Linked DNA regions of Oryzias latipes. The protein of the gene in region 3 interacts with the protein of the main gene of each other region in a pairwise test. Links are inferred from orthologs where the notes say so. Each region holds a gene or a part of one and is shown on either strand. Other genes may lie near its edges.

Evidence for each region. The genes of interacting proteins can lie anywhere in the genome.
Region 1: the proteins of appl2 (region 3) and rab22a interact in binary tests that used the Homo sapiens proteins (3 or more experiments, as listed by UniProt). The two-hybrid records come from large-scale screens. The link is inferred for Oryzias latipes from reciprocal best matches to the Homo sapiens genes APPL2 and RAB22A.
Region 2: the proteins of appl2 (region 3) and death domain-containing protein CRADD-like interact in binary tests that used the Homo sapiens proteins (3 or more experiments, as listed by UniProt). The two-hybrid records come from large-scale screens. The link is inferred for Oryzias latipes from reciprocal best matches to the Homo sapiens genes APPL2 and CRADD.

Annotation. Positions count from the first base shown.
Region 1 is NC_019863.2:13,832,768-13,836,267, reverse strand, and holds part of rab22a (ras-related protein Rab-22A), read left to right. Parts: intron 1-374; coding exon 375-446; intron 447-531; coding exon 532-638; intron 639-923; coding exon 924-1,033; intron 1,034-1,830; coding exon 1,831-1,928; 3' UTR 1,929-3,500. UniProt on the Homo sapiens protein: Plays a role in endocytosis and intracellular protein transport. Mediates trafficking of TF from early endosomes to recycling endosomes. Required for NGF-mediated endocytosis of NTRK1, and subsequent neurite outgrowth.
Region 2 is NC_019881.2:23,806,697-23,809,217, forward strand, and holds the end of death domain-containing protein CRADD-like, read right to left. Parts: intron 1,793-2,521; coding exon 1,485-1,792; 3' UTR 501-1,484; downstream 1-500. Other genes in the region: arhgap8 (rho GTPase-activating protein 8), read right to left, coding at 58-91. UniProt on the Homo sapiens protein: Adapter protein that associates with PIDD1 and the caspase CASP2 to form the PIDDosome, a complex that activates CASP2 and triggers apoptosis.
Region 3 is NC_019864.2:12,221,596-12,224,185, forward strand, and holds part of appl2 (DCC-interacting protein 13-beta), read right to left. Parts: intron 921-2,590; coding exon 746-920; intron 404-745; coding exon 367-403; intron 259-366; coding exon 103-258; intron 1-102. UniProt on the Homo sapiens protein: Multifunctional adapter protein that binds to various membrane receptors, nuclear factors and signaling proteins to regulate many processes, such as cell proliferation, immune response, endosomal trafficking and cell metabolism.

The DNA of each region.
Region 1 (3,500 bases), on a different chromosome or scaffold from region 3:
CACCAGTTCTGGGCCGGTTCTGGGCCTTATGGAAGGATATCCAAGACGTTTGACCCAAGTACTGCAGTTTAAAGGCAATAGTACCAAATACTAATGAAAAGTAATGTCATGATAAAAGTCATAAAAATCGTCTTTAAAAAAAGCTAGTCTCATTATTCTGACATGTGTCATATAGAAATAATTTTGATTGACCTAAAACAGGAAAGTTTTACTTTTATTTCATGTCTATGAGGGAAAAAAAGGACGTGTATAGTTTCAATTGTAGCTTCTGGCGTCTCCTTAATCAAAGTTAAAATCTGGTGAAGAATGAATACAGAACTATTATTGTTCTTTTAGTGTTTATCTAATAACATCTCATCTTCATCTTCCAAAAGTTTCGTGCTCTGGCGCCGATGTACTACAGAGGATCAGCAGCGGCCGTCATTGTATATGACATCACTAAAGAGGTTATTTGCTAATGTACTTTTACAAAAAATATGTACTCAGAAGATGCTGTTGATACTTCTGCTCATTGTTTACCCGCTGTACCAGGACTCCTTCCAAACACTGAAGAACTGGGTCAAAGAGCTTCGCCAGCACGGACCTCCCAATATAGTGGTCGCCATTGCTGGCAACAAATGTGACCTGTCAGATGCCAGGTAAGCCTCAGATGAGGTTATAGCATGTGATGATAAGCTATGCTAACATGCAGCGTAGCAATAACTCCTTGAGAAATATGTGTTTATGGAAACATGTTGTGAAGATAAACATTTTGTAAGGTTATGCTGTGGATTCCTGTTTTTTGTTGCTATATCACTATCTCACACATCAATTACCCGTCTCCCAGGTTTATATTCCACACCGACGTAAAATCCCCCACTTCACACCGGCAGGGAAACCTTTGTACATTTTTCAAAATATTGCCCTCGATGTGTGTTTTACAGGGAAGTGTCAGAAAAGGATGCCAAGGACTATGCTGAGTCCATCCATGCCATCTTTGTGGAAACCAGTGCCAAGAATGCCATAAACATCAACGAGGTCTTTACAGAGATAAGTGAGTGTGTTTTTGAATACTCTAAGCAGCTGGAATCAGCAGATTTACCTTACCGTCAAGGTAATGGTAGGAAGAAAACGTTTTAGTAGTGCATTTTTAAAGCACCTAAATAATAGATCATAATGAAATTGATTTGTTCTTGCTATTTATTCTCATGGCTGTTTGACAGTTAAATAGCCTGCATGTTAAGGCAAATGAGTTTAGTCATGTTAGTCGCAGGTTGATGCTTTTTGGAGCAAAAAGCTAATGGCGTTGTACACTGGAGCATTTAATCTGGTTTTATTAGTGTCAAATAGTTCTGTTTTTGCTTGAAATATTCACATAATTTGGTTTAAAACTGCATTCCGGCTTCTTTATCTGTCTGAATTGAAAATAAATAAAAGGAGATAGGAAGGACTTTGAAATGAAGAAAACCCAGAAACAGCACAGAGAGGTCACCTTTTTATGTCAAGTCACAGATGTTACTCCTAGATTGAAAGAATTTACTCAGATTCCTTTTTTAAAACTTTGATGCAAAGTATTGCTTCTTATAAAATAACATTTGTATTACCTAAATATGATTCAGTGGATACACTTTTTTTTTATTCTAAAGGCTTAAATGGAGGTTTGGGGGTGTTTTGTTCTGCATGTATAGACATTTCTTGCACCTCTCTGCACATAATTGATATAAAGAACAGAGAAAATAAATACAAAGTTTTATTTTAACTATTGAACAAAACTTAAAAGCCAGAGTTTAAATTTGAAAAAAAAAAGAAAAATCTAGTTGAAACCCTGAAAGTGCATGTTTGTCCCTGCAGGCAAGCGCATTCCCGTTGTTGATGCAGCAGGGGGAAGCTCGGCGAAAAGTATCAAACTAGGACGGCAGGTTTCAGAGTCTCGCAAGACGTGCTGCTGATGATGGGAACTGTCCTAAGAAGACCCGAGATGTGACCTTTGCTTCCCCGCAGTGCTTCGGACCTCCACTCACTCTCAAACCTCCCATAATAACCAGCAGCTGGGTGCAGTGCGACTGACTGACAGCTGCAGAAAACACGTTTTTATGACGTTGAGTGGAGATAGGTCATCATCCATCACCTCGAACATGATGACAGGAGAAACATTTTTGTGCAACAATGAGTGCATGCATTTCTAAAGAAGCCTTGTGCAATTGTATCATAGCCAAAGTATGATTAGAATTTTTAAGTTTGTAATACATGGATTGAGAGGTCATTTGTACTTGTACAGTTGTACAAATCTGCTATTTTTGAGCAGAAAAGAGCAAATCAGTTATTTTGATAGCCCTTAAGTTATTGTATTTTACTTTGATGGGTAAGTATCACTTAAAGAATTATCGACTTCAAGAGCAAACTGTCCTTAGTATCAATGCATGAACTCTTTTCTTTTGTTTTGTATTATTATTATTTTTTACAAGAAACTAAAAAAAGCATGTTATCAGCTACACTCGTGACTGATTGTCCTGAGCGCCTTGTTTAAATCGGTTGGTGTGAGTTCTGATCAGCTTAGGGTTTCTGTGCTGTGGGAAACAATTGCCCAGTAAAAGATGAAGAAATGAAAGGTATGTGGGACATTACTTCCTCTGTATGCTGGGAACAGCTCAGCATTTAGTAGTATTGGTGCCTCTGCCATGTTTGCTCAGTAAAGATGTAGCTGAAGCAGAGAGATAAATACAACTTTGGAAGAAGAAAAAAAAAGGGCTGTCTAGTTTATCTTTGGTGTTTAATGTGCTGTCTTTCATCATCATGTTGCACTAAAAAAGGGATGTCTCTAAAGTTCCCTTTATTTTTGAGCTTTTTGTTGCTTTGACTTTTGGCTTTTGAATATCAAACAATAACTTAAAATTGTAAACTTAAATCTCAGAATTAGCCTTTTGAAACAACCAGTCTGCTGTTCAGTAAACGGCCCCTAGAGGCATTACAACGACTCCTATGTTCCATGCTGTACACGGTTTACAGAGAATCGTGTCAGTGCTTAATGGTCACTGGTGAGCTGCCCACTTTTTAGTCTTTCTCTGCTTCTTGGAATGCTAAACAGCAAGTTAAATGATAATTTTTGTTTTTTATTGTCCCATCTTCTCTTCACCACCACTTCACCTAATCAGTACCAGCTTTCATACCTAGTGATGAGATGAAAACTGTCAGATCATACATTTCTATTTTTTTTTCTCATGTATATCAGGTTAGCAGAAGTTTTATAGCAGCCATGGGGCTGTTGACCCCCTGCTGAACTTTGGTCACTATTCTGCTCTGAATTAATTTGATTCTCTGTTCCAGAGTCGCCCTATTAATCCCCCCCCCCCCCCCCCCCCCCCCCCGCTTTTATGTTTTATGCGTCAACAATCGGACCTTGAGCTTGGTTCTAATTGTGGCGTAATGCATAAGAGTTTTTCCACTTTTCCAGAGTATTTAAATTCCTGGACATGGTTTTCATGAAGCTGTTCAGAGTTGGCCCAATTGGGGACAGGCAGCAC
Region 2 (2,521 bases), on a different chromosome or scaffold from region 3:
CGACACAATCCAGAAGTCCTGCGGAGAGCGCGTCACGTGACCCCCAGGTAAACTCACCTATGTCTGCCAGCTGCTCCGCGCACGCGGCCATGCCCACCACCGGCTCGCGACGCTACCAACAGCTCGCGGACGGACACTCTTTCCTGGTTTATGACGTCATTACCCGACTTACAGGTGAATACCGGAGCAGCGTCACACTTCCGGACAGGGGGGAGGAGCGGTCGATCACTCGCGGTGTACCACGAAGCGCGCCGACCCGAACGAGCTCCAACACAACTCAGTGCGCGCGCACAACTTCGAGGAATCCGGATGTTTCCACGTCAGGAAAACTCCGCCCCCTGAATTAAAATACCCGGACGACACCTGCGCGCGCAAAGCGCCACAAGGTTGACCCGTCGGATGCGCGCAGGTCTGTCAAAGTCCGGACCGAAGCCCAGAGCGTTATGGCGACGCGCATGACGTCACGGAGGTTTTTCCCTGTAATAATTAAAGAATTAGGATCTTATTTACATACTATTTCCAGTAGCTTTAACAAAAAGGCCAAACATATTTATGAAAACTGTCTTTGAATATTTTCAATGCATAGTAATCTGTTTCTGTAATCTTTCTTTTGTAAAACATGAACCCTCCCCGAGGTTCTCGTTATGACTGTTGTTCCTGTCATACATGTTTGTTCTATTTGTTGTTTTCACCGGTTCCGGTGCTGCAGAACACGCCGGAGCCGTGCTGCCCCCAGGCAGGGGGCTTTAAGGCAGTAGAAAGCTCAGATGTTTAGTAAATGAAGAGATTTCCGTTTTTAAACTTTTATTCCTTCACTTTTGAATGAATATTTATTTTTTCTTGGTCCGTTTCTCATTAGAATTCTTCCATCAGATCTTTTCGGTCTCCTTCTGAGTCAAAGTCCCGGTTTCGTTTAGAACCGGGATTACAGATGCCCGGTAGGGGGCAGCAGAGAGCTTCAGACCCGGTTCTGACGTCGATCTGCTGACTCTTTTAGGAATATGAAACCAAAAATGTTTCACTAGAAACCAAAGTTCAGCTCAGATTTCAGTCGTTTTGCTGACAGTCATACATTTAGAATCTCCCAAAGGATCCGGATGTTTTCCTGAATTTAAACCTAAGAACCAGACCCCCTCCCTGCGGAGGATCGCTTCAGTCCACCTTAAAAACGCAACCTGGGCTAGTGGGCGGGGCATCGCAGTCTAACGAACCCTTCAGTTTCAGCTGATGATCAAACCATCCGCGGTGGGGGGGGGGGGGTGTCAGCTGAAGTCAAACTAATAAAGTTTTATTCAAAGCAGAGCTTTGGTTCCTCCTCACACCATAGTGGGTCAGGACCAGAATCAGAACCCGGATCTGGACCTTTAGTCGGTTCTCTAGAGAGTCAGAACTTGGGCTGATCCCGATCCGTTTGGTCATGTGACCTGGCCCGCTTCCCGGTGAGGTTCTTTGGGCTTTGGCCGGTTCTGGAGCAGTTTCCGAGGTCAGCTGCTGGGTGGCGTCAGAACCTCCCCCAGCACCGACTCGTGCACGCCGGCGGCCTGCAGGCTCTGCAGCAGCCTCCTCGCCGTGGCGCTCCTCCCTCCGGACCGTCTCCACAGAACCAGTCCGGACAGCGCCGCCGCCTGGGTGCTCAGACTGTGATCGGAGCGGCACCGGAACACGGCCTCTGCTGGCAGACCCAGATCCATCAGCATCGCCTCCCACTCGGCTCCGAGGCGGAATGACAGCCGGCACAGCTCCTGATCCGACAGAACCCTCTCCAGAACCGAGTCCGAGAGGCCACAGGCGTCTGCAAACAGAACCTTCCAGTCAGAACTCAGCAGAACATTTGCTCAATGCTTTACATTTCCTCTACACAGATGTGTCTAAAACCAGGTTGGTTCTGACACTGATGGGAATTAACCCCGCCCACCTAATGTTCCAAACACGCTGATTGGGCGGGTCAAAGTGAGAGTTGTGTAGGCTCCGCCCACTACAATCAGCAGCCTGTGGGCTCATGGTGAAGTGACTGTCCTGACCCGATTCAGGACTGATTCAAAGTCCAGTCCGTTCTCTGATGAAGAACCACGTCTCAGCCCGCCTCAGGAGGTTCCCGGGCTCGGATCATGTGACCCAGCTGGAGTCTCGTAGCTTCGTGTTTGCAGGCGGGGACGGTGCTTTGGTACAGTGTGCGGTCCAGAGGGTTCTGACTGCAGTCTGTTCATCTGCAAATGCACTTAATAACAATCCTAACAATAATAAAAGTTTAGAAGATAATCTCGCTCTGTGTCGGCGCTCCGCTTGTTTACAACGGACCGCTGGATTTCTTCTTCTATGGTGTGACGGTGTGGCAGCGTCAGCTGGCGGTGCTTTCCACCCTGTTAGTTATTTTATGTGTTCTTTATTACAAGAAGCCATCACTAAACCGCTCCACGCGGGGCCACATCAGCACATGACACCCTCCAACTCTCCCTTTTCACTTCCTGTGATGCTCCCTTTTGAATGATAAGCCCCTCCTATTGGGCGTTGCCCTTCATTA
Region 3 (2,590 bases):
TGTGAACAACAACAGAAACACCTAACTGACTCTGTGCTTTCAGCAGCAACCAACCTTTCCAGTCTCCTTCAAACCACGAGCCCGTCTGATGGGTGGACTCACCTTTTCCCCTTCTGTGTTGCTCTCAAAGACGAAAGCACTAAACGACGGCTCTCCTTCGCCGTTCCCATCACTCCAGTCTATTCCTTCAACCACAAATCCCATCAGCCTCCCATTTTCTTGGTGAGCTGCAAACTGACACACTTCCTCTAGTTGAAACTGTTGGTGGAAAAAACAAAACATCCAGATGTTATTTGTATTATAAATGCAGGATTATTATTATAAATCCATGAAATATGCTTAGCAACTTCATCTTTTTCTACTTACACTTATTCTTGTGACCTGAGTCTGTGGGTCAATCAGTCTGTAAAGAATAAAAAAAAGTCTAATTATTTAAGTTATAAACCCATTTTAAAAGAGAGCTAAATAAAAAATTAATATACAGCTTTTTAAATGCAATGAAAAAACTAACTACATGATTAAGAAACTGGAAAAAAAGCAAAAAACAACCAAAAAAAAAACACAAAAATGTTATTTTGTGATTAGATTCATAAATAAAGAACTATTATTTGATTGTTTTGGTAAATCACAGTAGGTAAAGTAGGTAAGCCTATAGTTCACATGCATAGTACATAAGAAAACACATGTGAATTATTCCTATAATAATAAAGTAACATACATGCACAAAAAAATGAGGAATTTCTACCTCAGGCTGCTGCTCGTGATCATGAGATGGGACTCTGTGGTCCTGAAGATGTTGTGGATGGCTCGGGCAGCCAGCACCTGCCTCATGGCCTCGTAGATCACCTCCCGGTTGTTGCCACAGCGAACGGCCATGGAACCCAGAAAACGAACAGCGAAAACCTGCTGCAGAAGGGAGTCTGCCAAGAAGAAAAGGAGATCCTGCAAACTCTGCTGAAAGCTCCAGCAAATGATCGGACAATTTCAAGGGTCATGCAAATAATCTAAACACAAGCTCATGTGGATAGTTTGAGGACAACTAAAACAAAGGGAAGGCAGATGTTCAGAAAGACCAAACATCTACATGACACACGGTAAAGGGGTTCTAAATTGGGTTCATCCTCAGTCTAACTGTACTAAAGGTAAATGTGGAGCTGTCTCCAATAGCTGAACTAAAGCCCTCCTGAAATGGAGTCATGCATCAAGCCACAAACCCACAACAAACCAACAAGTGCAAAAAAAAAAAAAAAAGGCTGAAAGGTGCTGCAGGAAAAGACGGCTCAGGATTCGACCTGACTGCATAAGGGACTTTTCAAAAAGATTCGGATCTAAGTCCTCTAGCTAAACACAGCAAAGCATTCAATTAGTGTTACTTTCTATGGATAACCTGAAATGGGTGAGAAGTAGTATTACGGATGTTTTAAGGCAGTAATAGCCCTCACTACTACACACCTTATGCACTTCAACAGACATGAATATGTTTACAGTTTTGTTTCTTGTTTAAACTCTCAACTGTCATTGAAAAATAAGTCTAATATAGAGTAAAAACGAAGATCTGATCGCGATTTAAGATTTATGTAGATTTGGAAAGCTGGAGACATGGCACAGAGGAGACGGACCAGGTCTATGGTCAATCAGGACTCAAACCATACATGCCCTTTAAAAAAATCTATCTATCCATCCATATGTGTTTTTTATATATATATATATATGTGTTTTTTATATATATATATATATATATATATATATATATATATATATATATATATATATATATATATATATATATATATATATATATATATATATATATATATATATATCCCTTGTGCTATAGTAGATGATCCCACCCTTACATTGACGTGTTCACCATACCATGAAAAAGGTGGAAAGATTTCAAATATATATATATATATATATATATATATATATATATATATATATATATATATATATATATATATATATATATATATATATATATATATAAAAATCGTACTACGTGATTTCTGAATGTTTCTTCAGTTTCTGTCTCTCACTGTGGAAATGCACCTATGATGAAAATTTTAGACCCCTCCATGTTTTCTAAGTGGGAGAAAATCACAGGGTGATCAAATACTTATTGACCTCACTGCATATGCTGATGATATTTCATCATTTTTGACAAACCTGGCAAAATCAACAAAAAAATAATAGAAAACATTATTTCTCTGGATACAAGATCAATTTTTCAAAATTAGAAACTATGATATAAAGTTTGAAATGTCTAAGTTTCTTTGCCCTTTCCCTTTGAAGTGGGCTTCTACAGGATTTGTATGTTTAGGAATATTCATCACGCCTGACTTCCATCCCATGTTCACAGCTAACTTCAATCCACTTTTTAATCAAATCAACTTCGATCTTGAACCCGGAGCAGTCTTCCTGTATCCTGGCTGGGTAAAATTTCAGTTCTAAAAATAAATGTTCTTCCTCGTCTACGTTATCCAATGAGACTCCTATCCTTTTCACAATCAAAACAGTTTGTAAAATAAATGGGTGCTTTAGTTCTTTTATTTAGCATAAACAATAATAAGCAGAAGGCCTTGACTTA